3 linked regions of the Mytilus edulis genome follow. The protein of the gene in region 2 binds, or shares a complex with, the protein of the main gene of each other region. Links are inferred from orthologs where the notes say so. Each region holds a gene or a part of one and is shown on either strand. Other genes may lie near its edges.

Evidence for each region.
Region 1: protein Red-like (region 2) and WD40 repeat-containing protein SMU1 share a complex: the UniProt entries of both Homo sapiens proteins name them as parts of the spliceosome B complex. The link is inferred for Mytilus edulis from reciprocal best matches to the Homo sapiens genes IK and SMU1.
Region 3: protein Red-like (region 2) and zinc finger matrin-type protein 2-like share a complex: the UniProt entries of both Homo sapiens proteins name them as parts of the spliceosome B complex. The link is inferred for Mytilus edulis from reciprocal best matches to the Homo sapiens genes IK and ZMAT2.

The regions. Positions count from the first base shown.
Region 1 is NC_092354.1:21,758,695-21,769,967, forward strand, and holds the start of WD40 repeat-containing protein SMU1, read right to left. Parts: upstream 4,908-11,273; 5' UTR 4,809-4,907; coding exon 4,783-4,808; intron 3,195-4,782; coding exon 2,984-3,194; intron 1-2,983. Other genes in the region: leucine-rich melanocyte differentiation-associated protein-like, read left to right, coding at 9,532-9,570, 11,254-11,273. UniProt on the Homo sapiens protein: Involved in pre-mRNA splicing as a component of the spliceosome. Regulates alternative splicing of the HSPG2 pre-mRNA. Required for normal accumulation of IK.
Region 2 is NC_092351.1:652,448-663,635, forward strand, and holds the start of protein Red-like, read right to left. Parts: upstream 4,536-11,188; 5' UTR 4,408-4,535; coding exon 4,398-4,407; intron 1,169-4,397; coding exon 1,096-1,168; intron 684-1,095; coding exon 525-683; intron 1-524. Other genes in the region: hyaluronan mediated motility receptor-like, read left to right, coding at 4,864-4,909, 9,310-9,408, 10,894-10,976. UniProt on the Homo sapiens protein: Involved in pre-mRNA splicing as a component of the spliceosome. Auxiliary spliceosomal protein that regulates selection of alternative splice sites in a small set of target pre-mRNA species. Required for normal mitotic cell cycle progression.
Region 3 is NC_092351.1:34,544,185-34,555,991, reverse strand, and holds the start of zinc finger matrin-type protein 2-like, read right to left. Parts: upstream 5,670-11,807; 5' UTR 5,540-5,669; coding exon 5,531-5,539; intron 3,684-5,530; coding exon 3,528-3,683; intron 2,640-3,527; coding exon 2,569-2,639; intron 1,446-2,568; coding exon 1,372-1,445; intron 916-1,371; coding exon 770-915; intron 1-769. Other genes in the region: protein FAM114A2-like, read left to right, coding at 7,459-8,094, 8,856-8,940. UniProt on the Homo sapiens protein: Involved in pre-mRNA splicing as a component of the spliceosome.

The sequences.
Region 1 (11,273 bases), on a different chromosome or scaffold from region 2:
TCTGCTGCTGTTTTTCTATGGTCGGGTTGCTATCTCTTTGACACATTCCCCATTTCCATTTTCAATTTTATTTCAATAAACTGACTTAAATAAAATTTAAGCAAGTTAAACTGTAAGCTTGCCGCCGTTGATACCCCCGCTGAAATATTTCGGTTCACAGGAAGTTGTTGAGAAATGAATCTGAAAACGCACCACACGGTACAACTTACTTGCATAAACCCTGTAACCAAATTGATAGATACGAAAAAGATAGATACGAAAAAAATTTACTTAAATAAATGTTTAATTTACATGTAATGTATGACGTACATAAAATCATCTTTGTGTAAAGAAACGCTTGAATTGGCTGATCTTTTTGTAAAGCATGCTATTTTGACGGTTACGGATTCAGACTCATTAAAGATGCATTTCTTTCTAACACAAACGATGCAAACGGCTAAGCTCGCACATGATTTGATCATTTTTTTCAAACACATACGTTTGCAAAGTTTACATAAACTTTGACAAACTATGCAAACACTAAAAATGCGTCTACAGTTTGTCGTTTGTTAGTACAAACACTGCATTTGTTTCTAACTTCAACCTGATTAAACGAAGTATTTGTTTCTACGTTTTGTAAAAAAGTCTGATTACCAACAACATGTGCATGCATTATTGACAATTCAAACAGGGTCATTAAAGATTTATCAAACGATGTATTTGTTTCTACTCGTGTATCGTTTAGAAAACAGTAACACACGCGACACAACGTTTACAAAATTCTTGTTAGAAAATAATGCGGCCTAAGAAAAATCTTATTAGAATCACAAGAAGTTCTGATAGGTCATAAAATAAACTTCCCATCACTTTATTCTTTTCACATGTCAATTTAAAAAAAATCAATTCGCAACGATGTCATAATTGAAAGCACGAGGAAGGCTGGCCAAAATGTTCAACTTGCGGCTAGTGATTGACAGGTATGATTATATCTTGGGGCTCTTGTGGGGAGCGTGGTGTCGGACGGAAAAAAAGATTTCCAGTATTCATATATATATATAAATGTCGATCTGATGTGGAAAATTGTGAGTTTTTTTTTAATAGCACAAAGAAAAAGACGTTAGAAGAGTAACAATGTGTAACTATAAACGAATTACTCGTTGACTGATAAGATCGAAGTTTGATAAAAAAAAAAAAAAAAAAACAAAAAAAAGCATTCAATATCAAACCTTAATTCTTGGTTGGAGAAAACTTGTTCAATGTATACCTGAAAATATGTCTTAATAAATTATATTGTGTATTTAAATTATCTCCATTGAATACTATACAATTTATTAAATGTATCTATGATATCCTCCATAAATAAATATCGGGTTATGTTCTTCTCATATATAAATATCGGGTTATGTTCTTCTCATATATTTTATGATAGTATGATACTAAACCCCTAACGGGAGGGATTGTACCTGATATTCATATGATGAAGACATAATCTTTCAATCAGTTTAATTGAGGTCTGGAGCTGGCATGTCAGTTAACTGCTAGTAGTCTGTTGTTATTTATGTATTATTGTCATTTTATTTATTTTCTTTTGTTACATCTTTTGACATCAGACTCGGACTTCTCTTGAACTGAATTTTAATGTGCGTATTGTTATTCTTTTACTTTTCTACATTGGCTAGAGGTATAGGGGGAGGGTTGAGATCTCATAAACATGTTTAACCCCGCCGCAATTTTGCGCCTGTCCCAAGTCAGGAGCCTCTGGCCTTTGTTAGTCTTGTATGATTTTAATTTTTAGTTTCTTGTGTATAATTCAGAGTTTATTATGACGTCCATTATCACTGTACTATTATGCATATTTTAGGGGCCAGCTGAAGGACACCTACGGGTGGGGGAATTCTCGCTACATTGAAGACCCATTGGTTGCCTTCGGCTGTTGTTTGCTCTATGGTCGGGTGGTTGTCGCTTTGACATATTCACCATTTCCTTTCTCAATTTTATCAGTACAGGTAAAGTTAAATTCGGATCAACAGATTGATTTACGACCTTCCGCTTGTCCATGTTGTATTGCAAAAATATCACAGCAGGTGTTACTCACACTAGACAGGTGTCAAATCAGTATGACATTATGTCGGATTACGGCATCTGCAGTAATTAAGACTCTGTTTTTACTGTTTTTACAGGAACTGATTTATCTTAACATGACAATAAAGAAGAATTTTGTAAGGTGAACATATTTGTAGTAGTATTGCAAAGTTACCACGTGCATTTTCCTGTTCATTGGTCACAATTAAATAGATTATTCTTTATTAAACTAAATTCGATATTTAAATTGCAAGTAACTTTAATATCAAAACCACCGCTTTTTATTTCTCGACTGAAAAGGGTAATAAGACGGTTATTTTTATCTGACTGTAAACAGTGTATATAATCACAACGATCTATTAATAACCGTTGCTCACAGATAACGGATTATACAACGATCTATTAATAACCGTCGCTCACGCATCACTGGTTCTATCACTGACTCAATACACACCAGTTTAATCGGACAAACGGATAATTCCCTGAGACACACGGATAATTCCCTGAGACACGCGGATAATTCCCTGAGACACGGAAAATCTCCGGAGAACCGCAAAATATACTGTAAAACGAAAAATTTACGATGAACCTCTATTTATTATCCGTTCCGCGGAGATTTGCCAAAAATCGCGGTCATTTGCCAAATAGGTCTACCAGTGTATACTACCCTCCTTTCGAAGTAGCATAGTCCAACAGACAGATCGATTGGTTTCTGTCGGACTAGTCTATTTCTTCTAAAGTAGGGTAGTTTGTTTACCTAACCTAACAATGACTTCACGGCTCAGCTAACAAGCAAGCTAACTAAAAAAATTACCTTTGGCTACACACTCCATGGAATCCGCTGTAAGTTATTTTATTAGTTTGTTGGAAGTATCTTGTAGCACATTAGCCCTACTACCATTATTTTGAGCTTAGACCTCACCTGTTCATATAAATCTATAAGTTTCTGATCAGGGAGTTTTAGTGTCTGTATGGCTTGGAGCACACTGTCCCAGTGACCACTGTTGATGTCGGAGACAAACCCATCTACAGAATCAACAGTATTCAATGATGTCCCACTCTCTTCTTGTAGAACTGTAAGTGTCCGTAGTAAATTGTTTTCCTTGAGATACTGCTCAATCAGACGAACAACACTGAAAAAATAATTTAAAATAACATAAGCATTGTGATTTGATTTTCTTTGCCACTTTTAAGCACTGCTTTTGGGCTATTTCGTGGCTGCCATTTTATATTTGTGGATGGAGCTGGAGTGCCTGGAGAAAACCATGGTCGGATCTTTGATAGGAAAACTGACAATTAAGATTGGAATTGAGTGCAACAGTAGACGCGGGGTTCCAACTAATAACCTCAGTGTTGACTGGCTAGTGATTACAGTAGTAGCTACTTATAGTTAGACAACTTGACCTCCAAGGTCCATTATGAGCATTGTGACTATTAAGGAAATTTACAGAAAAATGCATGAAGCAAAAGTCTGCCAGAAAGTTTTCCATACAATAAATTTTGGTCTGTGATAAACATACAAAATTTAAGGTCCAAACCTGGAGACCAGTAGGCATCTGCAGTAGGGTAACTAAGAACCGCGATATTCCACCTTCCAACACCAGAGTCTTTCAAATTCGAATTCCTGTACCAGGAAGAAGAACAACCAAACAAAAAATGCAAAAAGTGCCACATTATTATTATTATTAACCTAATAAAAATTGCCAAAATCTACTGTCTGCGCCCCAAGTCCTGAATCTTTCAAGGCTCAGCTTCGTCATAAGATTTAAATGACATGTTTTTAAATTGCACCCATTCTTTTTGTTTATTAAATTTCAAAAATATTGCATGCACTCACTCTAAAATGTGGCAGAATAGTCAACCAGTTGACAGTGGCCGCTTACAGGAAGAAGAAGACATGTACAAAAGTAACAATGAGCTGTCAAATGTACATGTAGGTTAAAGCACACTATAGTATGTCCTTGTTTGTATACTATGATGACTCTAAATAGAGCTTATTTTAGAAGAAAAATCAATAAAAAAAAAAAAAAATTAAAAATCTGGAAAATTTCATGAAATTTTCAATGTACTTATGAACTCAAAATCGTTCAAATTTTTTTTTTGTCGCTTTTTTTTAATTTGCGCATAACGCAAAAATCTACTGCCTCCTTCCGGTCTCGTTGTAGCACTTGAGACTTTGAGTAGTCTAGTAAAATATAGGAACTCAAGGAACACAATACCAATATTTCATTTTTAATAATTAATAATTATTTGTCTTTGATATGAATGTAAAAACGTTACCTGATACATTGTGTTTCTTTGTTTACATCGAACATGACGTCATAACTTAAATAAAGTCACAAGTAAAATCCCTAACAACAGAACCAAAATCGAAAACGTTACTGTTTTTCCGTTTCTTTTTTTTAACAAATATGTGTTACAAAAAAAAAAAATCGTACAGTTTCGTCCTTATTCACAGGTAATGCCTGCCTCATATTATTCATCATGATTGGAGTGTACCATTGCAGGTGCTCATTTATATGAGCTGGATTGTAGAACTTTTATAGGGAAATATCTAAAAACTGAAGCTGTAGTTAATGTTTATCTTAATGACATGACTACAAGATGGAAACAAAAGAGTGTACGATGTTAAAATTCAATGTACACTGGTCCCTATGCGTTATATAAATAGTCAAATGCAACATTGCATTGATGAAATCACAAACAAATAGAATCACTTACTCTCTTTGCTCGATTTCGACAGCCATGCTTAATGTGATCAGTGTTCGTGGAAATATTAAAGGACTATTCTTTCGTCCGTTGTTTAAAACGCACGTACGACATGTAAACAATGTAAATCATGTGACATTAAATTTGTTCAAAATGGTAGACAGCTCAACTTGAAAGACAATCATTGAAATTAAGTTGATTGACACAGTAATTCAATTCAAATATTGTTTACGCAACAATTAACACCTTAAGTACGTATTTGATAATTAGAAGCTTTAGAAATAGCGCTAGATATATATAGAGGCAGAGACATATATACATATATGTATTATATGTCTCTGATAGAGGTTTGAATTACAGCAATAATAAATGCTGTACTTGTAATTTGTACATGTTCATGATGTTGTATAGTTAGACAATATATGTATAGTGTCTTGAAATATGAAATTTATTTGTGTATGAGGCTTAGAAACGGGGGAAATGCGAGGTTCTACCGAATACAAATAATTTTCATATTTCAAGACACTATACGTATATTGTTTTTAAACTGAAATCGATAAAAAATTTAAAAAATAATAAAAATATGAAACAAATATTGTTAAAAAAAATGTTTAAAATTTCCCTCTTGGGGTACCATTTTGGGGTATTTCCCTTTGAGCGTATTCCAGGCGGTACAAAATTGACATTTTAAGGAAAAAGAAAGGGAAAATTAACTCTAATTAATAATATTTGATAAATCATGGTATAGAAATTACCAATTTGAAGACATAACAAGTTTAAATTCATAAAAGTTTGACCATTGTTACTATACGTTGTCATGGTTGTGACGTGACGTCGTAAGTAGGCGGGGCTTATAGGTGAGTTGAGGTCATTGACGTATAAAGCTAAAGTTTATACGTATAGCTTTATCTGTATAGTAAAATAGCTGATTGCAGTATAATATAGCTATTTTGCCGGCTCTGATAAAAATATCTGAAATAACCAAAACAATTAGTAATGACTTCTTTGCCAATGCCTGTGATATATTTAACAAGTTATTTTGATGATACATGTATCATTAATTTTATATTTAGATCTAATTTTGTTATATTGCGGACATTAAATCAAGAAATGTATCTCATTTTCAATTTTTCCTGCGCAAAATTTACAAAATCTCTCATTAGGTCTGAGACCACAATTGTCGTCCAGAATATTAAAGGAAAGTAGTGATTTGGTCCAGGTGAAAAAGGTTGAAAAATAGCACTTCGGAAGCTGTCAAAAGATTTTCAAGACGCCCTAAAGATAAAATTGTCCATATTTTGAGTTAGAGACGATGAAGTTTGTAAGAAAAGTTAATTGCAAGAGTCTTTTTGTGCTCAGATTTGTTGTATCATGTCACATGAGTATAGAAATGATAAAAAAGACACAAATTTTTATTTCTTACAGCCTCCATATGCATTTTTTAATGTAGATATGAGGTACAGCCTAAATTGACCCTAAATTTTTTCCAGTCTTACTTGGCCTAAGACCCTTTTAAACTAATATGATATGTTATTTGTAACTCTTCTTTCCATTTAAAGTACTTTCAATACATATGTAAGGATTATTTATAACCAAAAAGCTTCAAAAATTTAAAATGGCTGGAAAATATTACATCTTCATGTAAGGCCCCTTCATTGAAAAACCTCAATTTTTAGGCTCAGGCTCATATAAATTTGACTTTTGAATAATTATGCCAAGTCTGATAAATCAAATGAGTACTCTATTGCTTTAAGTACATGATAGGTTATATATTAAGGCATTTAAAAAGTATTTTTTTGCAATATTTTAATTTTTGAAGCCCCAAATGTTGATAGTTGAAATTATTCAATTTTAACGTCAAAATTTTACACGCAAAGATAAATATAGAACTTAACTTATTGTCTATAATATACATCCTATTGTCATGAAACTTTGTAAGCAGTGTTATAATTTATTAAGCTTTGCATGCTTTGGTCATACCAAGTTTTTTAAAGATTAGTCAACTCTTTCTATCCTATTAGGTCCAAGACCACAATTGTCGTCCCTTGATTTTCGTTGTTCACGAATATGAATAGTCCCTAGTGTTGACAGTGGATTACCTGCCATTAATTTTTATACCCCTTCCAAATTTATTTCTCCATGTTTAATGCCTCAAATTGCAAGTAGGGGGGTGAAATTACACTGTAAAAAAATTTGGGCCCAGAATTTTAAAGGAAAGCTGTCAAAAGATTTCAAGACGCCCTAAAGATAAAATTGTCCATATTTTGAGTTAGAGCCGATGAAGTTTTCTATAATTTTGATATAATTTGTCCCAAAAGTAGTACAACACAGTGTAAAATGGGATTTTTTTTATTTTCATTTATGTTCTAAAAGAAATGCACTACGAAATAATTGTGCTCTCATACCCACTGCCGTAGGACTTGGGGTTAAGCGTGAAGACTGATATTATATAATAGAACTATCAATGCATAAAAAATTGTTTTGATCTATTGCTATGCATATGTATGCACAATCATTTACTTTCACGTATATCCTGCATTTTATGTTTCAAAATATCTGCCCTCCCACCAACCCCCCCCCCCCCTAACCCCTCCCCCCCAAAAAAAAGAAAAGAAAAAATCAACAGCAGTATTATTATGATTATAGCTATGCAGCTATGATGTTCAGATCATTTATAAACAAATTACACATGTTATAATGAAAAATTGAAAAATTTTCAAATAATGGTCACGGTTTCATTTTCAATTAAAATTTAGAAAAAAAATCATACAGTTTGACTTTTAATACAAGTATTCTTATGAATTGATTATAATTTTCAAAAATCCTTACACTATTAGGTCACAGCTAGATGCAAACAAAAAAAATTCAGATTATTACAATGTACATGTACCATGTTTTTAATATCCTGTAATTTGCGTTTTTGGTCATGTTGGTAAAATCATAAAAAATGCTGAAGAGTTTAAATAGCCATCTCAAAATCCTGCATTTAAAACTGAAAACTGGAAAATCGGAATCATGTTTAATTCATAATATGACGGGGTACGAAGGGGTCCTGATCCTGAAATCTCGGGCTTAAAAACATGAAATCCTGAGGTCCTGAATTTAAAGAAATTTAAATCCCGACATCCTGACATCCCAAAATTTGAAAAAAAGAATTCCCAGATCCCGAAAGGATCAATCCCAAAATCCCGAGCTTAAAAACACCTATACTAAAAAGGTCCTATCCTCCCCCCTAATAGCAATGTCCATGATGTCTGTTTTCAGGGGTTAAAAATTCCACTAGCCCGACGCCCGGGACTAGATCATTTACGCCTCAGGCAATTAAAATGTGTAATTCGATATGCCCGACGGACTAGTAACAAAAAATATTGACGTTTCCAAAATAGAAAGTGAAAAATCCTTTCATCACTATTTTATGTTAGCCATTTCGATTCAATTAAGTCAGCCAGGATTCCAAGAATTTGAGCTGGTTTGTACAGGTCCTGTTGTACATATTTTAAAACTGGAAGAAATAACTCTGGCATGTCTGGGTGGTCTGGTATCATGTGTTGATTGCAATTCTCGTACTTTAAATATCGATTTCTCATATCATGGCTCGGGGTATTGTACATTGCTTAGGCAGCAACCATTTGATTTTCTGGGGGGGGGGGGGGCTATGGTTTTTTTTTCTGTGCAAACTTTTTTTTTCGCCTTCGGCGTAGAACAATCTATTTTTTTCTTTCAATTTCAGCATTACATATAGTGGCAGCTGAGGGTGAAACAAACAATTTTTTGTACTCAGGGTCCAAAACAAATTATTTTTTTCACCAAAACCTGGAAACAAACTTTTTTTTCCAAAAAAAAAACATAGCCCCCCCCCCCCAGAAAATCAAATGGTTGCTGCCTTATCGTGCCGAGATTTTCAATTAACGGTATTTGGGGGTATGATGTATTGATTGGTATTGACCTGTCTTGTTGCACAGCTCTTGAGCACGAAACCATGCAACAAAATATTTCTTAATATTTTAGTACGTGAACCCCAGGAACTTCGTCAGTTTCAACACGAAAAACGGTAGATGAAGGGAGTAACGAGGCTGAAAATTCATCCCCCAAAAATGCTAAATACGATAGGGAAAAGCCGCGGAAAAAAATAATAGTGTCAAGGACAGCAGGGCTGTCAAGTCTTTAGCGCGAGACTCACACATGTTCATGCTTATTTTGTGGCATTTTCCTTTGATCTATTGTTTTTTCTCTTTGATCTTAACTATTTGGCCACAAAATCACGCATTCACTTCCTGAAAGGTTGGAAGAACTGGGACACAATGATTCCCATGGCAAGGTTGGCTGTTGCTGATGAAAAAACCGACAATGCTCTGTGAATATTGCCGTTAGTTGCCCCAAGCACTCCAATAAAAAGTCTGCTTTGAATGTGGGAACAACTAAGTTAGGTTAAGCACCAAAAGAATAAATAACAGATCAACAAAAATTATTAAATACAGTGTATAATGTCTCCTTCAAAACAACGGACACCCACTTTGTATTATGCCACAAACTCTTGATTTTAAAGGCATACTAGGGCTAGCAGGTCAGTTTTGATGGACTAGCAGTTCTTCCAACAGGGCTAGTAAAATACTGCTGCCAATAAGTCCTGGGCTAGTTAGCTGTAACAAAATTTTTTAACCCCTGGTTTTATATTCTACAATCATTTACCCTAATTTATTTCAGATGAAAATTGAAAATGTTTCTGATCCTTGTGATGAATGAACATATGGATTGAATAAAATGAAGATGTCAGAAAAAAGAACCAGTTTAGCATACCAGGTATGTTTTTAGATGGTTAGCAGTCTAGATATAAAAAATAGAGGAGTATGATTGCCAATGTGACAACTCTCCAACAGAGACCAAATGACACAGAAGATGACAACACAAGCTTGTTTGTAATTCCCTTATACATTTGTATGTTCATCAATTTTTCTGGATATTTCTTTATATTGCTATTATTGACTTGAAATATGTCATTGTTGTGTACACAAGGTTTTAAGAACAAAGGTTTAAGCTGAATTTCAAAGGTACAGATAAACCACTAATTTTAATGTTCAACGAATTGTAAATTTTCCGTTGCCATTGGCAAAACCATGAAATTAAATATCCACGAAAGTGTCAGTTTCCCTCAATCCACGAAAATTGATACCAACAAAAATAAATGAATCCACATTAATTGCTTATACAATGAAACACAACTCTTTTACTCAACCGCTAAAAATCGATTACTCTGAGTAATGACCTATTAAATCTCAGGGAATACATTAAAGTTATAAAAAAAAAAAAAAAAGAAAAACAGTTTTTACGTCCAGCTGAAAAAGTTGAGAATAAATTTAACAAATATTTTTCATCAAGACCAAATTCTTCAAATAGCTAAAAAGGTTAAGACAATTTTGTGTGAAATCAATTTTAATCTGACAACAAATTCTAATAGGAGGCAGGCATTACCTGTGAAAGGAGACGAAGTCTGTATGAATTGATTATTTTAATTCAAACATAATTTAACTTCCAAAAAGAAATGGAATATTTTAACGTTTTCGATTTTGCAATGGTTCTGTTGTTAGGCATTTAAAAAAAAAATTCCAGTGTAAAACGGGACTTCGTCCCTTTATGATAAGAAATAGTAAAATAGTGTAATTTTTCAAGTATTTATAAGAAATTCCTGTATCATAAGGACATTTCTATATGCCAATATCTATAATACTAAAATTACGAGGTCCAATTTGTTAGCCGTCATCACGTAAAAACGACGAATCACAGAATTCAACTTTATATATAACTAATATAGTACAAAGGTGTAGATTAAAAATTACACCACTCCAGGCCCTTTTGTTTTCCACGTAATTAATATTAACAATAATTAAGAAGTTCCGGGTCGAGTCCGCTACCGATACCAATAGTATATTCACCTGTTACCTATTACCTTATCTGTACGTTCCGCATCTGACAGGCGCACCACCAAACGTTGTATTCAGGATTAATATGCTATATACACGGGTCATAACCACAGGGTTGACACTACTAAATTGTCAAATTGTTACCTATTGTAGTATTTTAATCAGTAAGACTTTCTAAGATAACAATACGAATACTAAAAATCTGGACTAAAAATAAGTCGTATAGGTACAGTTTTCAATTTGTTAGTGGGCATGACGTAAAACAGCGAAGGAAAGAATTCAACTTTATTTATAACTTAAATAGGACAATGCTTTTGATTAAAAAATACTCCATTTCAGGACCTTTTGTTTTCCAAATAATTAATATTATTGTTTCAGTTCGACGGGTTCAAACAGAAAGACTTGAAAGCAGAGAAAAACTGTGTATCTTATAATCGGCATGACTTTAGACTTTATCAGATGACAATACTAATACTAAAATAAGGCTTGCGCATAGTTATATACTTTAATTCAGTCACGGACCCGTAATATCACGGGTGTGTTCTAGTATTTACTATTTTTTCAGAGTCTAACAGAGATACCAGT
Region 2 (11,188 bases):
AACAAAACAATTTATGTATAATTTTCAGACTTATGAATCTTTATGTATTTAGTGCATTGCTGTTTGTCTTTTATTGTTTTTGTCCATGTCTTTTCAGTTTGTTTTTTATAACTTCCACAACAAAGTTTCTAATATAAAACTAGTTCTAACTGGTGACATGTCTGCCAGCTGATGATTATATGTAGATATGGAATCATAATGGGCTCAGTACATTTGTGGATCAAGGATTTTGAAAAAGACAATGCTCAGAGCACTTTTAACAAGTCTATGCAATAACCATGTATTAAGCTTCTTCAGGCTTTTTTCATATATTACTAGTGTGTTCTTAAACTAGATGTCCTAGTTACAGAGGTCTTACAATAGAGTAATGGTGCTGTTTTTATTATGATCAGATTAATATTGTAGAACAGTGGCAGTTGGTCTCTAACTCTTCATTTTAACTCTGGGGATAGTTGCCTCATTGGCAATCATACAACATCCTTATTTACATACCAATAATATCGTCATAGTTCCTGAATACTTACAATATTGTATTACTACTACTACTTGAGTGTTTCTTAGGGACAGATGAATGCTGCTGATGTTGTTGATTCTGTTGATGATGATGTTGTTGTTTTGCTGCTGGTCCTGGCCCCCGGGGGGTCATCATCATTTTCCTAAAGTCATCATTGGTCAGTGGATGTCTAAATATACATTGTAATAAATAATTATAATATATAATATATTACTGACCCTGTAACTTAACATGATAATCAAAATTGATTTAATTTTTTTTTTTAAACATCAAACAAAAAATAAGAATCCATAAAAAAACAAGAGAAAATCTCTTTAGACAAGTAGAACAATATGGTATTTCCTGGTTATTTGACATAATTTCACCATATTTGCCGAATTACAATCATGACAATTTTAGAAACTATTTTTCAAATATCATCTGGATATGTTATGTATGTTGGGCCTGTTATTTGATAGCAGTTTGATAGTCATATAAAAATATTTGAAAGAATTTTGACAGCTTATTAATAGGATTATGTATCGGTATGACAGTGAGAGTTTATTTCTATAAAAAGTTATTTTAAATCATATAAAACTTACCCTTCATCCTCATCATCGCTATAGTGATGATTTTCTGGAGGAAGTGGATTTGAGAAAACCTCAGAATCTCCTTCTAAAATATACAAACATTAAAATGATCTTAGACTATCTAGAGGCTTCTAAAATATACAAACATTAAAATGATTTTCTAGAGGCAATTTTTATCTAATTTGAAAGTTTAAGTCATATCTAGATCTGTTTAGTTCAAGTTGAAATATTTTCTGTATTAAAAATTAGTAACCATGAATTCATTATTATACATGGGATATCAATTTTCAGGGATTTCGTGGGCAAAGGTGATCCATGAATGAAATGTTCAACAAAATACAAGTTTTCTATACATGCTATATGCTTGCAAGCAGACTTTGGCAAAACCATGAAATCAAATTTCCATGATTATACAATTTTTCCTTAATCCATGAAAATTGGTACCCACAACTTTCAGTGTCCAGTGCCTAAGACCACTCGACCACCTAGGCTATATGAAATAATAAAGGAAATTGAAAATCCTTGTTTATCAAAACAAATTTGAAAATGTTGTTTTATCATTAATCCATCAAAGACAAGTATTTCAACAATAAGGGAAAATTATTATGTCATTGAACAAGCTTTCCATACAACATGTGTTTTCATAAATTCCAAGAATATACATGTATACCATATGAATATCTGAATAGGTTTATTAAATTTGTACATGTTGTATCGTCACTGTATGCCCTTAATATTGATATTTCTTTTTAAAAAGTAGGAGGAAGGTACCCATGGCGAACAAACTCAATGGGCAAACAAACTAAGGGGTAATGGCGAACAAGTAATTAGGTGAACAGACCTGATACCCTTTAAGATCAGCTATTTTGAAAAGGATGTCAGAAATGTTAATTACCATGCAGCCGTATCATTTTTAAAAATTATTATTATTATACTGGAGAGCATGATTTTTCTTGCAAAATCACATGTCTCCACTGGGTTTTGAACCTGGGACCTCTGTGTTACAAGGCAGCTTGTTAACCAACTGAGCTAAAGAACTTTCCTTAGCTCAACCACTTACGGCTGACTAAGTATTTAACACATGACAAATGGGGGATGTGTTTCAATGCCAAAAAGTGCTATATGTCCTATCCATAAACAAAAAAGTAGACAAATTCTATATGCTTAATAAACACATCCTACAAGAGGTACAAGTGAACCCATACTTAGGACTCCAAATCTCAAACGATCTGAAATGGAGTATCCACATAAACAACATCAGTAAGAAAGTCAACACAACCTTGGGCTTCCTTAAGAGGAACTTTCAGAGGAATGTACCAGAGCCATGTAGGAAAGTAACATACATATCCCTAGTAAGATCAACAATGGAATATGGTGCAAGAATCTAAAACCCATATATATGAAAGGGGATATTGACAAACTAGAACTTATCCAAAACAGAGGCATACGATTCATTTAGAAAAATTACAGGAAACAGGGTCTATAACTAATATGAGACACCAGCTCAAAATGGAGACACTAGAGGAAAGAAGACACAGCCTCCATCTTATCCTGATTAACAAGGTGGTTTAGGGTCTGGTGCTGGCTCTACCAGCGAGAATTTTGTCATACCAGCACAACCTAAACGAACTATCAAAGCCAAAACATATTTTAACTGTGAAACTGACAATATCATTGAATGTCAAGTTATCAATAACACCAGAATATTAAAGTACCAAATAGCAACAAACCACAGTATAAACAGTGGTCTCGCTAGCCCAAAATAGAAGGGCGCCGCGCCCTGGGTGCCCTCAGCTGCGCCCTGGGTGCCTTCATCCGCGCCCTTCTGCCCTGACGTCTTTTTCCAAAATTATCTTGTTCCGTTTTGGTAAAATTTTGTTTCATCGATTTCTGATCTCCAAGTTAATTACATATATGACACCTGTGTGATTGCCCCCAGGTTAATCATTTTAATTATTACAATCAATTACAATGATAAAGACTTCAAAGGTGTTAATAACTAGGTAATTTAATTAGGACAATGTATCTTTTTGTCATACTTCTGATGAATGTGTCAGCGAGTGTGTTTAGCTTGGGTCGGCATTTTCGATCTCCAAGTCACAATGGAAGAGCGTATATAAATGAAGACTTTCATGACTTTAGAATTGAATTTAAGTCATCAAAATAAAACTATGCCTTTACAGAAATGCCTTCCATCTCAACTTGTTAGCGACAAGCACAGTTTTTAATTAACCCAAACGTGGTGGAAATTGATTTTGGAGTTACTTCCCCTGTTTTAGCTTATTACAAATTTGTGCTCTAAAAATATTATCTAGTACCAAAAAAGGGAATAAATTACCAATTGAATATATAATAACATAATCATGTTATCTTAAAGATATTAACTGTCTGAACATATTAAAAAATATATATTGCAATTTCTATTTGATAATTATACTTTTAGCAATCCATGTTCTAAACATTGTTAAATTAGTAATGCTCTCTGTTTCAGTTCATATGATGTATTCAAAGCTATAATTCCTATATAGATAAAAAAAAAAAAAAAAAAAAAAAAAAAAAAAAAAAAAAAAAACACATATTCTTTGATAATTGGTAGAGTGAAGTTGAACTGTCATGACTGTAAAAACATAATATGTTGATGAAGATGTACTATATCAATCATAACTACACAAACAATGAAATAAAGACTATAGTACAATAAAAAAAACAAAGAGATTCGTTAACTCGTGATACACACAGAAACTTAGACAAAAAAATGAGCAGTGCCTTTTCTTATCATAAAAAGTGCCCTGCCCTCCACTGGCACCCTGCCCCTTTTGATTTCTAGCTAGAGCACTGATAAAGTTAAACATTCATTTTTTTGTGAAAACAACTATTCACTGAAACCAACTACCAGATAAAGTTGTGGATGCAGGTTTTGTAGAGACATTTAAGACTGCTCTACAAGAACACCGCCCATAACAACAGCGCTCTTCTCTCTCCGTGGATAAAAGTCTAAAAAGGATTTTACAAGTACCACTATACATGTTCCAAGGGAAGCAATCCCGTCACACAGGTTTTAACAAATATATATATATGACATCTTTAAGACAGTCATTCTTCATCAGATAACACATACGTAACATAGGAAATGAAATGACATTACTCTCATATCTCTAGACAAAATAGAAAATCTCTTTCATTATCATCAGAAAACAAAAAGAGAATTTATCAAAAATACATGAATTTTGATAATACAGTCTAAAATTGTAAATAAATGATTTACAGATCTTATGTGTGCTTATTTCATGTGTGTTTGTGGGAAACAAACTTACTTTCTGGCATCTTTGCAACTGCAATGGAGAAATGGAAAAGAATGAGCAAAATAAAAATAATGCAGTGCCTAAAATCTAAAACAAAAGTAGGACTGTTCCGTAAATTATCCGGGTTTATTTATAGCCAAATTGTTTAAATATTCTACGCTTTATTATAACTGTATCAAGATATATGCATAAAAAAGCATTCGAAATTGCTTTATGCTTTATCTGACTTTATTTTAATTCAAAGAATAGATATTCAAATGTGTCTTATTTTTTTCTTATCCGGAAAAAATAATCCGTCAAAATCATGCGAGTTAATTTTACTTCTACTTCCGGAAACAAATTTCATTGGTCAAAGCGGAAAAGTGAAAGAAGAAATTCGAAAATCTGGCGGTCCTTGTGCATATCTGTATAGATAACTGTTGAATATTCCTACATATCTAATGACAAAGTATCAGTTATAGAAAAAAAAATCATCATTATGGCCTTTTCAAAAGCACCATTTAAACGCTTTAACGAAAAGACAGGTGGGTGAAAATAAAGATTCAATATTCAGTAATGATCATCAACTGGTTAATGCCAAATTATTATGGCTTTATCCTTATTAGAGGGTGGTAAAGGGGTGGTGCTTGCACGAAAAAAAAAACGTGAAATAAGACATAATTTCACGTTGAACGTGAAATAATTTCTGTAATGAACGTTGCATGAAAAATAAATACTTTTATTTGTGACTGAGTCACTGTCTTCTTGTATATATTAACTCAGGGATCTCCATGGCCTGTTTAACGATGGCGCCCTGCCATCGTCAAATGACTCGTGCCATTGTTAAATTGTCTTGCACCATCGTTAATTGTCTTCCGCCATCGTTCAAAACTTCGTCGTTTTTTTGTAGCCCGACGCCATTTTGTTTATCAATTATAATCAAATGCATGTAATTGCATAGCCCTTAGGCTTTTTATGTTATAATCCAATACAGTTCTAACGCCTGAGGGATATCCGGATTAAGATCGCTGAGCTTGTACAGGTAGATCAACAAACCAGACAGGAGAATACTATCTTGGATAGACGATCTATTTGTCGAATTAATCAACTAAGTTTCAGCAAATGATTATGATAATTTAGATTAAATAAATTAATTAATAATCCAGTTACAGAGGAAACAGTTTAACAAGTCGAACAAGTGCTTTATTTTGACTTACGCAATCAGCATCCCCCTTTTTTAAGAAGTACAAAATAAGACCCAAAACAGTAAATATTATTTCATTGCAAATAACTCGAGTACTGCTGTAACGATAATTTAGAATTACTTTAAAAGTTTAAAAGTAAAAACTTAAATATTTCCTGTAAAGAAATATCGTATCGTAATTCCAAATTCATTTCGTATATTACAATCAAATTGATACATCCGCGTTTCCGGTTTCTATTCAGACTCGAAAGATGCATGTTGCACAGCATCAATTTGCCAGAGTAAGTCATTAAAAACCTTTTCATTTTTCAACGTTTGCTTTACAAATCTCTTTAACCTTTTACATAACCCGTACAAATCGTTTTGTTGTTGCTGCAAATCAGCCATACCGGTAATGGGTTCTGAATTTGACAGTGTCCATGAAAAAAAAGCTCCACATCATATGATTTTTAACCCCATAACAATTACCAAAAATACAAAAAATCTACATGGGGACCTTCATGACAGCTTTTGGTCATTCTTGACTAAGGGGGACCATGAAGACTTGGCATTTGAATGGTTAAAAACGGCAATAAATGAAAATATTGATACTTCTAATTCTATAATGAAAATTCAAATAAATATAATTTAAATAAGCAATGAATTAGCATGTTCACCATTCCTTGTATGGAAGGATAAAATACTTCCGATCGCGCTACACTGTACAGCGTAGACACGGTTTGTAATGGTGAAAGTTCCTCCATCGTTCAATTTTCATCCATGGAGATCCCTGTTTACTCTTTGTTTTACTTGATATTCCAGATTTAGTATACACATTTATGATATAATTGGTTTACAGCTTTTAAAAAAGTATTTCTTGACGATCCCTGCCAAGTGTTTGAATTTTATTTGAAAAATTTCCGAGCACGCAAAATAAGACTTTGAAAATCACGATGCACGTAGCACGCAAAATAAGACTTTGAAAATCACGATGCACGTAGCACGCAAAATAAGACTTTGAAAATCACGATGCACATAAAATTAAATAAGCAGAACACGTTATAAGTGGCACCCATCTTGCACAACTGAAGGTCAAATAAAAAAGTAAAAACACGTTGAACGTGAAATAAAAAAACGGACGAAAATAACCCTTTACCACCCTCTTATTATGCAAAAATAAAAAGTTTAGTCAATTCGGTACCTATATATACAAAATCAGGGCTCTGATCAAAAAAGGGTTAAGGTTTACAATTACAATGATTAAATTGGTTTTTATCCTCATATGTGGATTAAACAACTCCATGCATATTGGCCCTTTGGCTTAATAATTGTGTTTTTTATAAATTTTAATCACAACTCCAGTGACAAATACTACCATCACTATTTTCGCTTCATAGTCATACCTAAACGAATTGTTTATTGTAAAGCGTATATCTGATCGTGGTTCATTTTGTCATTTGTATGCAAAGCAATATTTTGTTTCACACCAAAAAAGACCAATGACAGCAGATATACACCATTTATAATCTTCAGTACTTTCTTGGTCTTATCTTGCTAGTAGGGTGCCTGTATTTATATTGCATAGTCCTATTAAATTTTTTTACCATCTCTGGTGTTTTGCTTCATGTTTACAATAGGCAATGTGTGTATACAGGTATCTGAAGAAATAAACCAGTTTAACGCATAATTCAGAGGACCTTCTCGGTGGTGTTGTCAAAGGTAAAATCACAAAAATACTGAACTCAAATTTAATTGGAAGGTCCCTAATTAAATGACAAAACACATCAAAATAATGGACAAGAACAGTCATATTCCTGACTTGGTATGTAGGCATTTTCAAATGTAGAAAATGGTGGATTAAAACTGGTTTTATAGCGCTAAACTTCTCACTTGTATGACAGTCACATCAAATTCTGTTATATTTACAACGATGTGTGAACAAAACAGATATAATATGTGAAATAGTCAAAATATGGGTACAGCGGTCATCACTTGGTTACATTATCTCAAAACAAACAAACATTTACAAAAAAGCACAAAAGTATCTATCAAATTAAAAAAAAACACACATTCATTGCTTCGCGTGTCTGACATCCAGTCAGGGGTACTACTTATACAAGTGTATTTTATTTACTTGAAGAAGTGAAAAAAAATATACACATATAAGTAAATAAATAATGTTTGAATAATCTCCCCTTAATTTTCTGAAAAATTTACTTGTACAAGTAAATTTTTCTTACAATCCCACAAAAATCCTCAAGTTTTGAGATGTAAAATCATGCCTTTAATAATTTTTCCCAGGTTTGCTCAAATTTTTTCATTAAAGTTCAATGTTTCATCTCATTAATTCATCAAAGAAACTGATTGAGCAAAGATCTTGTATATTTGCGCAAGGCAATACAAAATTGCTCCTTTGGGGCTTGTAAATGAGCAGTGTTAAGAAGATAACAGACAAATGGGACTTTCATTGTCTATGAAATCACACTTGAATGATTAGTAAAGACATCTGTAAAGGGTACACAATTTAAAATTCTATTAGAGCAAAGAAATCTGCAGAATTCAAGAAAAGAAGAAAGGATGATTTTTTTACCTATACAAGTAAAAAAATCTGGATGCGGAAGGGACATAACTCAGCCAATTTTTTTTTACCTATACAAGTAAATAAAATTCACTTGTATAAGTATCCTACAAATTTACTTATATGTGTATATTTTTTTTTACTTCTTCAAGTAAATAAAATACACTTGTACAAGTAGTACCCCTGACTGACATCAGAAAATGTAAACGTCAAATAAAAAGAAATTTTGTCATTTAAGGTTTATTAAATTTTTTTATAATTTTACAGGGGGTATGGTGGTATACAGGGTTAAAAAATCAAAAGTTATGTTAAAAATAGATTCAGAAACAGACTCAGCATATACACATAATTTTGTCGTAACAGTGATTTTATCAACATGTTTTATCTAAAGCAATTTAGCATGGCGCAACACCATTGCCTTTTTTTCTTTTTCTTCTTAAAATTTGATGCCATGTGCCCTTTTGCATTATCTGGACCGAGATTGGGGTTTTTGTTGATCAAAGTGCAACAACCACAACGAAGCATTGACCTAATTATTTGCATGTCATTACATGAAGACATTTTTAATCACTTCAGCGAGACTCGTGAGTGTAAATCAACAATCATTTCAACACTCAGCAAAATAAAAATAAAGTTGTTACTGCATTAGAAAGTGATGAAAGTTTCCTGAAATAAATTTGTAATCCATTTATTGCATTAAATATGTCTTATTCCTTTCCAAATTGCGTGCCAAACATAGTTTATTTTTGTAAATTTTCTTAGTCCATCATTGAAATATTTGTAACTTGTAAGAACTATGGATCATAGTATTAAAGGATTCATTGGAAACAGACCAGCTATGATCAAAATCCTGATTTTTTTTCACACACATTAACATACTTTTAAATATGTGTTTAATTATAGCAAAGTGTATAAAGATGTCAATATTAGTGACAATACACCTACCTCATGAAATTGCAGTAATTCTGAATACATTTATGTCCCCATCGTTCATGACTGAGAGTGGTAATTATTTCTCAGTAAAGGACCTGAATATAGTCCCCCTTCAATTATTAATTGGAATGAGTGTCTTATAATCATCCACAACTCACTCCGTACTTACTGCTCTAAATGGATGAAATAAGAAAAACGAGTTGAAATATATATTTATTGAATGACTAAAATGATCTGTATGTATTTTATAGGTTGTGCACCTCCTGTTGGCTCATATGATCCTAAACAGAAGGATAAAGCTGTTTCTATGCAATTTGATAAAGGAGGGGATCGTTTCAAAACACCAAAAGGTAATATATTGTTTAATACAGTAGGGGATTGATTCAAAACACCAAAAGGTAATATATTGTTTAATACAGTAGGGGATTGATTCAAAACACCAAAAGGGAATATATTGTTTAATACAGTAGGGGATTGATTCAAAACATCAATAGGTAATATATTGTTTAATACAGTAGGGGATTGATTCAAAACACCAAAAGGTAATATATTGTTTAATACAGTAGGGGATTGATTCAAAACACCAAAAGGTAATATATTGTTTAATACAGTAGGGGATTGATTCAAAACACCAAAAGGTAATATATTGTTTAAATACAGTAGGGGATTGAGTCAAAACATCAATAGGTAATATATTGTTTAATACAGTAGGGGATTGATTCAAAACATCAATAGGTAATATATTGTTTAATACAGTAGGGGATTGATTCAAAACACCAAAAGGTAATATATTGTTTAATACAGTAGGGGATTGATTCAAAACATCAATAGGTAATATATTGTTTAATACAGTAGGGGATTGATTCAAAACACCAAAAGGTAATATATTGTTTAATACAGTAGGGGATTGATTCAAAACATCAATAGGTAATATATTGTTTAATACAGTAGGGGATTGATTCAAAACACCAAAAGGTAATATATTGTTTAATACAGTAGGGGATTGATTCAAAACACCAAAAGGTAATATATTGTTTAATACAGTAGGGGATTGATTCAAAACACCAAAAGGGAATATATTGTTTAATACAGTAGGGGATCGTTTCAAAACACCAAAAGGTAATAAATATTGTTTAATACAGTAGGGGATTGATTCAAAACACCAATAGGTAATATATTGTTTAATACAGTAGGGGATTGATTCAAAACACCAAAAGGTAACATATTGTTTAATACAGTAGGGGATTGATTCAAAACACCAAAAGGTAATATATTGTTTAATACAGTAGGGGATTGATTCAAAACACCAAAAGGTAATATATTGTTTAATACAGTAGGGGATTGATTCAAAACACCAATAGGTAATATATTGTTTAATACAGTAGGGGATTGATTCAAAACACCAAAAGGTAACATATTGTTTAATACAGTAGGGGATCGTTTCAAAACATCAATAGGTAATAAATATTGATAGATAATAGGGGATTGATTAAAAATACAGTTGGACCCAACACTGCTTTGTCAGCTTGTCCAGGACAAATAAAAATAGGTGTATAGGACAAATAGCTATAGAAGCAAACATTTTATAAAAACAATGTTATTTCTTTTATAGAGAAAGGACACTGTCAATGCTATCAATGAAAAATCACAAAAAATGGTATCCATTGAATATTAATGAATCCACAGTACTTTAATCACTAGCAGATGAGTAGCTAGCCAGTCAACATCAAGGGCACTACGACTTCCTCCACCAATCAATAACTGGTCACTACCATATAGCCCAAAAGTGATGCTTAAAATTTGTTGTTCTTTAAATAGTTATTTTTATTTTTCAGATATTCTTCTCGGACCAGGATCTTTTGACATTGATACACCAGTTAAAAAGTGTCCATTGAATCAATCAACATGTAGTAATGGGGTAAGTAGAGGAAGCCTTTGATAGATCTCAATAATTATATGTTATATGTAGGAATGGTTGATGGTCATAAATCATTGGTTAGTCTGAAAATCTAAACTTGCAATATAGAACAACATGACTGGATTAACTCTTTTTTATGCCCCACCTACGATAGTAGAGGGGCAATGGCATTATGTTTTCTGGTCTGTACATCCATTCCTCTGTCTGTTTGT
Region 3 (11,807 bases), about 34 Mb from region 2:
TTCGTGCAACACGATAGCCGTTTTTTATTTCACGTTCAACGTGTTTTACTTTTTTATTTGACGTTCAGTCGTGCAAGACGGGTGCCTCGTTCAACGTGTTCTGCTTATTTAATTTTATGTGCATCGTGATTTTCAAAGTCTTATTTTGCGTGCCCGGTATTTTTCAAATTAAATTCAAACACTTGGCAGGGATCGCCAAGAAATACTTTTTTAAAAGCCGTAAACCAATTATATCATAAATGTGTATACTAAATCGGGAATATCAAGTAAAACAAAGAGTCAATATATACAAGAAGACAGTGACTCCGTCACAAAAGGTTCACATAAAAGTATTTATTTTTCATGCAATATTCATTACAGAAATTATTTCACGTTCAACGTGAAATTATGTCTTATTTCACGTTTTTTTTCTCGCAAGCATCCCCCTTTACCACCCTCTTTGCATGGTCAGCAAATATATATATTTCTTCAAGTCAGAAAGCACACAAAATTTAGAACATACATATCTAGGAATTCATATGTAAGGTGAAGTGTACAAGGAACATATTTGGCAGCACTGTGCACATGGGTCTTTAGTGTTGCTTAATTGTGAAACTTAATTTGTTGTATAGGAAAAGTCAGTCAACTAGAACAGTGCATGCTGATCATCAAAAAAGTTCAATCTTGAAAAACTGAAAAGTCTGTCAACTGGAAAGAAACACAATTTTAAACTGTCGACTCTCTGAAGGTGGTTAAATCTTTGATACATGATGAAGTGTTAGTTACGTACCTCTTCTTGTAATTCTTTAATTCTCTCCTCAAAATCATATTCTTTTTTCTTTTCTTCTTTTTTCTTCATATTACTTTCAAATCTTTTCTTCACTTGATCTAATGTTGACCTTTCTATTTTCATTGACATTCCCAAATTTCTTTGATCTTAAATACAAAAAAAAACAATAAAAACATCAGCTAGTACAAATTTCAGATATAAAATTATAAAAGGCAGCAACCGTATTGAATGTGTCATAACTCTGTATTGACATTTGAAAACATTAACCCAAAAATTTTAATGCTCATCAAATTACAAATATCTATTGACTTGAATGTAGACTTTGTCAAAATCAGGAAATCAAATATCAAGAAAAATGCACATCAAAGACCTAAATCCAAGAAAATTGATAAACACAAAAAATATAATAAATCCACAGTATTCAAAATCTGAGGATAAAAAAAATATAATTTGGTAAACCTTGCAATGAATTCCATTTATTTGCAGAAAAATCTCTAACATTTTGAAAATGCTAAAAATACTAGCTGTTTATCTTATTCACAACTGGCTCCTGAATATTTTTTGTTTGAGAGCAAAGGAGAAAAATTTATATACAAACTTACGTTTCTTTCCATTAATGTGATCAAGGAAATTAATAGAGTCTTTAACAACACAATCACAGACATTGCAATAATACCTGAAATAACAAAAAATATTACAGTCAATCTAAGGTAATGCAGCATCAGAAACTTAACAATGGGACAGACAAGGTGAAGGAAATCTATTCTAATGAATTTAGAATCATCAAAATATTAAAAAAATAATAACTTTCCATCTCTGTTTTATTCTATGATGTTATTTTAATTTATGTTTATGACATTACACAGAGATTGATTTTGGCTTCATCTGTACAAAACTATGTTAAGACTTGTGTTATGGTGAACGAGAATAAAATAATATGTACAAGTTCTCTATTGATTTTAAGGATACAAATTTTGACCTATACCATTAATTTTTTGTAAGTGATATAGTATCATGTATCATGTTGTAATTTATTTTTCGAACATACAATTTCTCTAATTTCAATATATTTTAGTTGGTGCCTGTTAAAACGTTTAAAACCACATTTGTTTGCAAATGTCCAAAAGTCAGGAAACTATTGTTCAGGGTTTGTGGATTGTTAATGTGGTTCATAAGTGTTTCTCATTTCTGTTTTTTTTAAGATAGTTTAGACTGTTGGTTTTCCTGTTTAACTTGTTTTACACTAGTCAATTCTGGGGTCCTTTATAGCTTCTTGTTTTCAGTGTGAGCCAAAGCTCCATGTTGAAGGCTGTACTTTGACCCACAATGGTTTACTTTTTAAACTTTTGACTTGGATGGAGAGTTAATTCATTGGTTCTAATACCACATCTACTTATTTCTACTTGAATATAAATGTAATTGATATCATTTCAACTGATAATATAGTTCTCAATAAGGTACATGTCATGAGTTCATATTCCAAACAATAAATTGATTGGTTCACCGTTGATTGTTGGCATTGCACTCAGTATGTCGTTACAGTCAGTTTTTATTGGTCGAGGAGGCTGAAGTATGCAGAGAAAAATCACCAATCTTTAGCAGGAAAATGGCAATCCTTGTCAATCCAGATAGGAGTAAAACAAACCTACCCTGGGTGGTTTTGGAACTCACTACTTCAGTGTAGACAAGCTAGTGATTTATGTAGATGAACTACTTTGACCACTAGGCCCCTCCTTACATAATTAAACATCTACTCTAAAATCTTAGACTAATAATAGATAAATAAAATGTTATCTTACCCTCCTTGTCCTGACTGAGGTGTTTGCTTTGTGATAACCTGAGATTTTCCTAATTTAGAATCGAGATCAACCTAAAACAAGAACAACAGATACAGTAATTAGAACAGCTATAAAAATTTAACATACGATCTTATACATGTATATGAAGACAAAGCGACACTTACTTGTCAGTTTGTAAATAGATGTGTGCTAAGTCACATCTTAGTAATTGTAAATGTTACAACCTATTCTACACAAATGTTTAAGTGCCAGTCTTTGTAATAATCAGGCAATTTAGACAATTTTCAAAACAAGACAGAAAAAAACCTTACCAACCTACCCATCCTATTATGAAGTTTCCCTTATCCTGAGTTCATGGAGTTATAAATGGTAGATTGTTTTGTTTCTGTGTGTCTATTATTTTGAGAAATCTCTAGATAACTTTTGGTAAAGAATGAAAGCAAATTATGGAGTTATCTCCCCTTAGTTGTTAATTTCCAGTGCATTTTAACCAAATTATATCTTGAATTACAGGAAACAAATGTAATATGCATGCACTGTTACCATGGTTATATATGTACGTTTTGATCTTAAATTAATGTCAAGTTGAGCCGGGTTTTTGTTTGTCACGTTTGACCACTGCCTCAGATTCTTAGGCAGAGTGGCTTGGCACTTAATAAAGATGCTGCTTAAATATTTATATAAATTAATCAGTTTTATTTAGCAGTCTATTTTGACTGACAAAAAAAAGACTGGTGTTTATATATTTGGTTTTATAAACCATTATCCCAGGGAATTTTACTCAAAGTCCCTCTTCAGTATCTGCTCTTTCTTCCACAACTGCATAGTAATGTCTTGTCATGGCTTAAAACTGTATATTCCCTTTTGACAGATTTACACAAAGATATTTAATCATAAGATTTTTTTTCTCTATTTCTGAATATATTAATTTCGATCAAATGTAACCTTGTTTAACATACTTTATATTCTCTAGGTTTTAATAGTTCTCTTTTGATAGGTGGCTCTTTTAACTCTTTTTCAAGAAGTTTCCTTTCTTCTTCTTCCAATCGAACTTTAGCAATTTTTTCATACTCATCCTTGTCCCACTTTCGTCTGTGATCACCGGGTGTTGGTTTCTGAAGAAAAAAATAAACATTTAAGTAATGATCTTTCATGTGGATATAAATTTACTTATTAATATAAAAGATGTAGATAATATGATAAAAATGTATATCATATCATATTCAAGGCTCAGATATATCATCACTTGAAGGTAGGGTTTGTATAATAAATTCTCTATAAATTAATGAATGTACATGAAGTTAAATTAAAGAACTCTGGAAAATTAATACATAGTCATTAGATCACAGGTAATTGTTTCCCTAAAAAACATGAAAACAGACTGTTTCTTCTCTAGAACAACAGGGAAATATCCCTCGCATTAAAGCAAATATATCTATAAACCTTTGAAAAACACATATATGGGAAAAATTAAACAAAGCTAACTCAATGTTTGCGGCAATAAGAAGAATATAAATTTAAATGCAAAGATCTTCATAAAACATAAGGGAAAACACACTTAGACTATGCTAGTTCAGTATAGGCTCCCTTCAAAAAGAAATTCTTTGGCAAAATTAAAAATGTACAAAAAAGGCCGACAGGCCAGATACCTGGATCCAACAAATTCAGTTATCCGGAAAGATTGAAGAAACTTAAGCTGCCAATATAGAATGTTCTGAGGGGACATAATTGAGACCTACAAGATACTTAACAGAAAATACAATCCAGAAACTAGTACATTTCTCAAACTAATTAAAAACACCCAAAATAGGCATAGCACAAGAGTTCATAGTGCAGGGATACAGGCGATCCCCTCTATCTGATAAATGATGTCATAATGGGGCGCATAATTGACGAGTTTTTTCCAGTGAAGGATAAACTCGAAAGTGGTCTATTTCCACAGGCACTTGTTTCTTTCAATTGGAAGACCCTCTATCCACGTATATTTACTTGGATAGAGGGTCTTCCAATGGATAGAAACAAGTGCCTGTGTCTATCAGTCAGAGCTCAGACATAAACAAGTCTATTTTTGTTTTTGACTTAAAGAAGTCAAAACATGTATTTATCATAAAAATGTGTTTTCAATTTTAGACTTATCTAAGCCATAAAATGACAGACTTGTTTAGGTCTATTTATGTTGATGAAAAAACTAATTTCACTTGGTGGCCAAACTACACAACCTATGACAGCAAAAACCTGTCTGAGTGTTCACAAGGACTTGAGCTATCTATATGTAATTGTCTTATTGAACATCCTTACTAAACACAGATGTTTTTCCTCATTAAGTGTAGTTCCAGGTGGTTGCATTGTAAGGTTAATTAACATTATCTCCGATTTTTTAGACTCTCATTCATATTTTTCCTTAGAAGACAAAGCATTGTCTTTGAATGTTGTCATTATTTGATTTAGATGCATGACCTCCTTATAAATTTGCGTGGGTCTTTAAGCTAACCAATTTTGATCACTTATCGACTTGTAGGAGTCGATATTTGCAACTTTTTGATTCTGTACAGTTATTTCTTGCTTAACAATATTTGACTTATTAAAGTCATATTTTGTCTTGCATTAAAGGGAGACTAATCCTAAAACTTACAAATCTAGACCTCTATGAGTCAAAAGCAGATTCAGACTTATTCATGTCTGAGCTCTGACTGTCTATTTCTGAAAGTTTTCCATCATCGAAATTCCAATTTTTAATAAACTGCTAGGTTTAATTGGTCATTCAGGTGGGATACGTGTCATGGGACATTGTGAAGTATAGTTCTATGCTTTGGAACATCACATTATCTAAGCAAAAGCACCAGTAGTAGGACCATGAATATAAAGAGAAAAGGGGGGGTTTATTGTGTCTTTACGATTTACAAAGAAGACACTTAAAAGGGAAAGAGCTGGATTCATTCTTAATTTGTCGTATTCTTGTAACCTCTGCCATTGTTCTTTAAAGTATCCTCAATAATATTAATTTATAAATTTGTAAACAATCAAATAGCCTTCGCTCTCGGGTTTCTTCTTATTGTCTATGGAAAACTCCGAAAACTCAAATCCATGCACTTCCATCTAAGTTTCTCATGCGTTTTAAAATGACAGTTAGCTCCTATTTATTTCAAGTTGCTCAATGACCCGAAAGCTTAAAAAAATGCAAAACAAATCGACGTGGCTGGAGTGACGAAATTTATTATAGTTCGATTTTCCATTTGCATACGTTTGACAAGCAGAGTTTTGGTAAGTTTTGCATGAAATGGACTATTTTTGTCTGAGAGGGAGAAGTGTTTGATTGTTGATAAACAATCCTTACACTTGGAAAAATGCCAAATTTTGAGGGGTTGATCTGTTGATTACAGATTTGCCATGCCATCATTTGCATGATTTTGATAATTTAGCAATTTAATCTACTTTTTCTTTTTTTAATTTCCTTTCTCTCATTAGATCATATTTTAATTATTAATGGTTGTACTTGAAATAGACAGTCCTGACTTTTGTATTGACTATTGTCACAAACAAAAATATATTATCCTCACCTTATGGGTTTTCCTTCTATTTACCCTCTTACTGCTGGTAGTATTTCATTTCATTTACAAGAAAATACGGCAGCTCAACATCTGTGACGTCACATGTACATGCTCAACAATGACTTCATTTGACATGTTTGATATATAACGTCATATAATAATTATAATTACACCTTATGTAAGAATCCGGGGTTTTGATTGGTTAATAGCCAGTGTATTTTTCACCAATTTACTGTTATCAAATGAATATTGTTCATTTTTTACGCCGCCGGCATATTTGCTAAAAGGATATGCCTTTTTTACCCTCTCTGCCGTGGTATTTGCCAAAAATACTCTATCCGACTGGACGCTTGTAACGTCACGATCATCAATGCGTTTTAGTACATTAACATTCGGTGTAATTAAACAGATATATCATGTTATTGAGGGGTATTTGCGAAAAATACCAGTCTTGAGAATGAATTTCCCTCGCCTTACGGCTCGTGAAATTTAACATTCTCTCGACTGGTATTTTTCGCAAATACCCCTCCTTAACATGATATATCTGTTCAATATACAGTCTACATAATAATTTTTACGTTGAACTGTCAAACTTTACCAATACTCAACACTACTGGTGGGCGCAAGAAAAAGATAACCGTTATATTTTGGAGCCATTGAAGAAAAAATAATGCACTGTTTAATCATCAGCCTTTTTCTTGAAAGAGATACAAAATGTACATCAATGTTCATGATGATGAGAAGTTTGCATAAATTTGAAAATGGTTATATGTGTCCCTCCAGCAGCGAGAGGGTTAAGAATGGACCGGGATTATGACGTCACAATTTCCATTGAAAAAGCGTTCATAGTACAAATTGCAAATGACTCATGAAAACAAATAATCTGACCATTTGTTTAACTGTTCCTAGCCCTGTACCACCAAGCTTTTTTGTCGATCTGGCCCCAAGTCTATTTGTGCCAAGTCGATCAATTTCAAGTTGTTCCATTCCTATTTGATCTGTCCAAAGTAGTTCCTTCCCAAGTTGATTCAAAAGAATATTTATAATGTATAAAAATAATTCATAAATCATGTAAATGTTCATTAGTTTTATAATAATATTAAAGATGAACGGTAAAAAAGTTGGCCTTTGACGAAGATTTGTACATGAATATTTAATTGTCATAGAATGAACTAATAAAAAATGCAATCCCTTACTACTTTAACACAGTCAAAAATACTAAATAATAATCACAAGAGGATCAGAAAAGTAAGTTAATATTTCTCATTTCCTTTAATTGACTTCTAACCTCTTCTAAGCTTCTAACTGTTCATTTATACTTTTTCATGCTTTTGTAGATAAAATGTCAGATTCAGAAGATGATGCTGCATTTGCCAGTGCTGATGAAGGAGAAGAAACAAAGCAAAGTCCACCAAAGGGAGATAAATCTACTAAGCCTGATACAGATAAAGCAACAAAGTCTGTAGGAAAGGGAGACAACCCGAAACAAGCTTCAAAAACTAATCCTAAAAGTGATAAAGAGGCTATTGACAAAACAAAAAATCCTGAAGTACCACAACAGAAAGGAGCAACTGGAAAAGGAAAGAAAAAGGGAAAACAGGCCAAAAAAAATAATAAGAGTACTGAAAAACATGAAGCGAAAGAAACAGAAAGTAAAAAGCCTGAGAGTGAAGTAATAGTAAAAGAGGAAGAGAAGACAGAAAGTAAAACATCTGACATAGAAAACCAGGAAGAGAAAAAAACAGATACCACACAAGTTGAAGAAAAGAAGGCACCAGAAAATGATAAAGAGCTGTCAACAGACAGTACAAATGTTTCTGAAAAAACAGAAAGCATTGTTAAGTCACCTTCTGGGCAGAACATACAGAGGGAAGGATCTGGAGAAGGATCAGAAAAGCCAGACATTAAATCTGTTCTGGATCAACTAGCAGATGATGACGATGATGAAGAAGAAGAAGAGGAAGAAGAAGATCAAAAGGTTATTGTTACTTAAACAGTATAAAAAAATGTCTCTTCTATCATCATAATCATCAAGCAATTATGTGCTCCTTACATCATGTGCATCGATGTTGTACATTGTACATGCATATTTAACATGTTTAAGAATCCTTGCACTAGCTCTTTGAAAAGTCAGTAAATACATGTACATCTGGTAGGTTAGCTGTTGCAAGGCAAAACAGCAGCCCCTTTTAAATCTTTTTTTGTTAACAATGCAGTCAGGTCCTTCATGATCATCTAGTGTTAACCCGCAGTTAATTATTGAATGCTGTTGACCATGGCCCTAAGGTAAGCAGAATTTTGCAGAAACTATGTATTTGGTTGAAATACTATTTGTACTCCTGAATATGCTTTAAATATTTGCCACTGGCTATTAATCATTTATTAATCAATCTTAACTTCTTAAGGACAAATCACCTCTTGTAACTGCATTCAACAGGCCTTAAGGAAACAGGTCAATGGATTTCTAATGAATTATTATAGACAAAATATGTTTGCTCCTTGTTTGGCCAAGAGGGTGGAAAGTACAAAAATGTATGCTTTAATTTATTTCAAAATACAATTAAAAAAAAATGTATATGATTCTTTCAATTTACAACACTGTTCATTCTTGTATGGACCTGTACCAAACTGAAACATTACGATATCATTATCATTACTTTTTAATACATACATGTACATTTACATAATTATATATATGTAAGTAAAGGCAGACATTCACTGTACTTTATTTTATTACAGTCTAGTAGTTGGAATATTGGAGGATGGGGTTCTAGTATCATGAATGTAGCACAGACATCAGTTTCAACATTTACAAATCAAGTTGGTTAGTATCATAGATAAATCGGTCTAATTGGTACAGACATGATAAAATGTATTTCAAAGAATCAGAGGATCACCTGTCAAACATCACTCTAATGCAACATTGTGTTTAACATTCATTTTGATTGGATAAGGTTGCTAATTTTCATGTCATTAAATCACAATATTAATTGATGCTATGAAAACGTACGCAAGCGCAGACGACATATTACAGATTTTAAATGTATGTTTTAACATTGTTTTCTATCAGTTTCATTAGAATGGAGATTACAATATTGTATTTTAAGCTTCGACGACATCAATTGGTGATTTTATGGTCATAAATACCTGTTTACTGGCTCCACTAACATATCTTTGCCTTGAGACATTAATAAAACATATTCATTTGTTATTTTTCAATCTTGAAAATTAAAAGTGTATTGCAAGCATTTGTAAATCTATGGGGAGATAACTCATTTAGTTACATATTTACTCCGGAAAAGTTTCACAATGTCAATATTGAGATCTATTGGACAAAAATACTTGTAGAAAGTTGTTTTCATATGTGTATTTTCACCTGTACATTATTAATTTGTTTAGTTTAATTTTGCAAGGCACCTAAAAAAACACTCGAGATTCAAATTCAAATTCAAATTCAAATATTTTATTTGAGATTCTTACAAAGAGTACTTGTATGAATATTCAGAGGTGTCTACAGCAATCATTGTTGTAAATAGACACCTCTGAATCTATTTAAAATTATATCTCCTCTCACTCATCAACTTAGCACTATAAAAAAAATGATCGAGTGTTGAAATTTTTATTTCATTGATTTTACAAGAGCTTATCATTTGGTGTGGGAACTTTTCAATCTTTTGATACTTGAATTGTCTGTTATTTAACATGCATTTTTAGCTCACCTGGCCCAAAGGGCCAAGTGAGCTTTTCCCATCACTTGTCGTCCGTCGTCTGTCGTCGTCCGGCGTCGTTAACTTTTACAAAAATCTTCTCCTCTGAAACTACTGGGCCAAATTACACCAAACTTGGCCAAAATCATCATTGGGGTATCTAGTTTAAAAAATGTGTCCGGTGACCAGGCCAACCATCCAAGATGGCCGCCATGGCTAAAAATAGAACATAGGGGTAAAATGCAGTTTTTGGCTTATAACTCAAAAACCAAAGCATTTAGAGCAAATCTGACAAGGGGTAAACTTGTGTAACAGGTCAAGATCTATCTGCCCTGAAATTTTCAGATAAATAGGATAACCTGTTGTTGGGTTGCTGCCCCTGAATTAGTAATTTTAAGGAAATTTTGCTGTTTTTGGTTATTATCTTGAATATTATTATAGATAGAGATAAACTGTAAACAGCAATAATGTTCAGCAAAGTAATATTTACAAATAAGTCAACATGACCGAAATGGTCAGTTGACCCCTTTAGGAGTTATTGCCCTTTATAGTCAATTTTTAACCATTTTTCGTAAATCTTAGTAATCTTTTACAAAAATCTTCTCCTCTGAAACTACTTGGCCAAATCAATCCAAACTTGGCCACAACCATCTTTGGGGTATGTAGTTTGAAAAATGTGTCCAGTGACCCAGCCATCCAATCAAGATGGCCGCCATGGCTAAAAATAGAACCTTGAGTAAAATGCAGTTTTTGGCTTATAACTCAAAAACCAAAGCATTAAGAGTAAATCTGACATGAGGTAAATTTGTTTATCAGGTCAAGATCTACCTGCCCTGAAATTTTCAGATGAATTGGACAACCCGGTTTTGGGTTGCTGCCCCAGAATAAGTAATTTTAATGAAATTTTGCTGTTTTTGGTTATTATCTTGAATATTATTATAGATAAAGATAAACTGTAAACAGCAATAATGTTCAGCAAAAAAAGATTTACAAATAAGTCAACATGACCGAAATGGTCAGTTGACCCCTTTAGGAGTTATTGCCCTTAATAGTCAATTTTTAACCATTTTTCGTAAATCTTAGTAATCTTTTACATCTTCTCCTCTGAAACTACTTGGCCAAATTACACCAAACTTGGCCAAAATCATCATTGGGGTATTTTGTTTAAAAAATGTGTCCGGTGACCCGGCCAACCATCTAAGATGGCCGCCATGGCTAAAAATAGAACATAGGGGTAAAATGCAGTTTTGGGCTTATAACTCAAAAACCAAAGCATTTAGAGCAAATCTGACGGGGTAAAATTGTGTAACAGGTCAAGATCTATCTGCCTTGAAATTTTCAGATAAATCGGATAACCTGTTGTTGGGTTGCTGCCCCTGAATTAGTAATTTTAAGGAAATTTTGCTGTTTTTGGTTATTATCTTGAATATTGTTATAGATAGAGATAACTTGTAAACAGCAATAATGTTCAGCTAAATAAGATCTAGAAATAAGTCAACATGACCAAAATTGTCAGTTGACCCCTTAAGGAGTTGTTGCCCATTTTATTCAATTTTTAACAATTTTCACTAATTTGGTAAATTTTTGTAAATTTTTACAAAATATTTTTCACTGTATCTAAAGGTCCAAGTTTATTATAGATAGAGAAAATTGTAAGTACCAAGAATGTTCAGTAAAGTAAGATCTACAAACACATCACTATCAGCAAAACACAATTTTGTCATGAATCCATCTGTGTCCTTTGTTTAATATAAGCACATAGACCAAGGTGAACGACACAGGCTCTTTAGAGCCTCTAGTTTGTTGCTGTCACATTTACCACAGATTTCTTTTTTGTATAATCATGGTAACAATGAAATATGATTTGTACATACATATGCTAGAAAACTTAGATCATAGCTAAAAATGCAAAGATGTGTACTGAGTCACTTTGTAGGTCATAAAAATGTAGTCTCCCAGGTGCACTTTATAATCCAAGTCAATT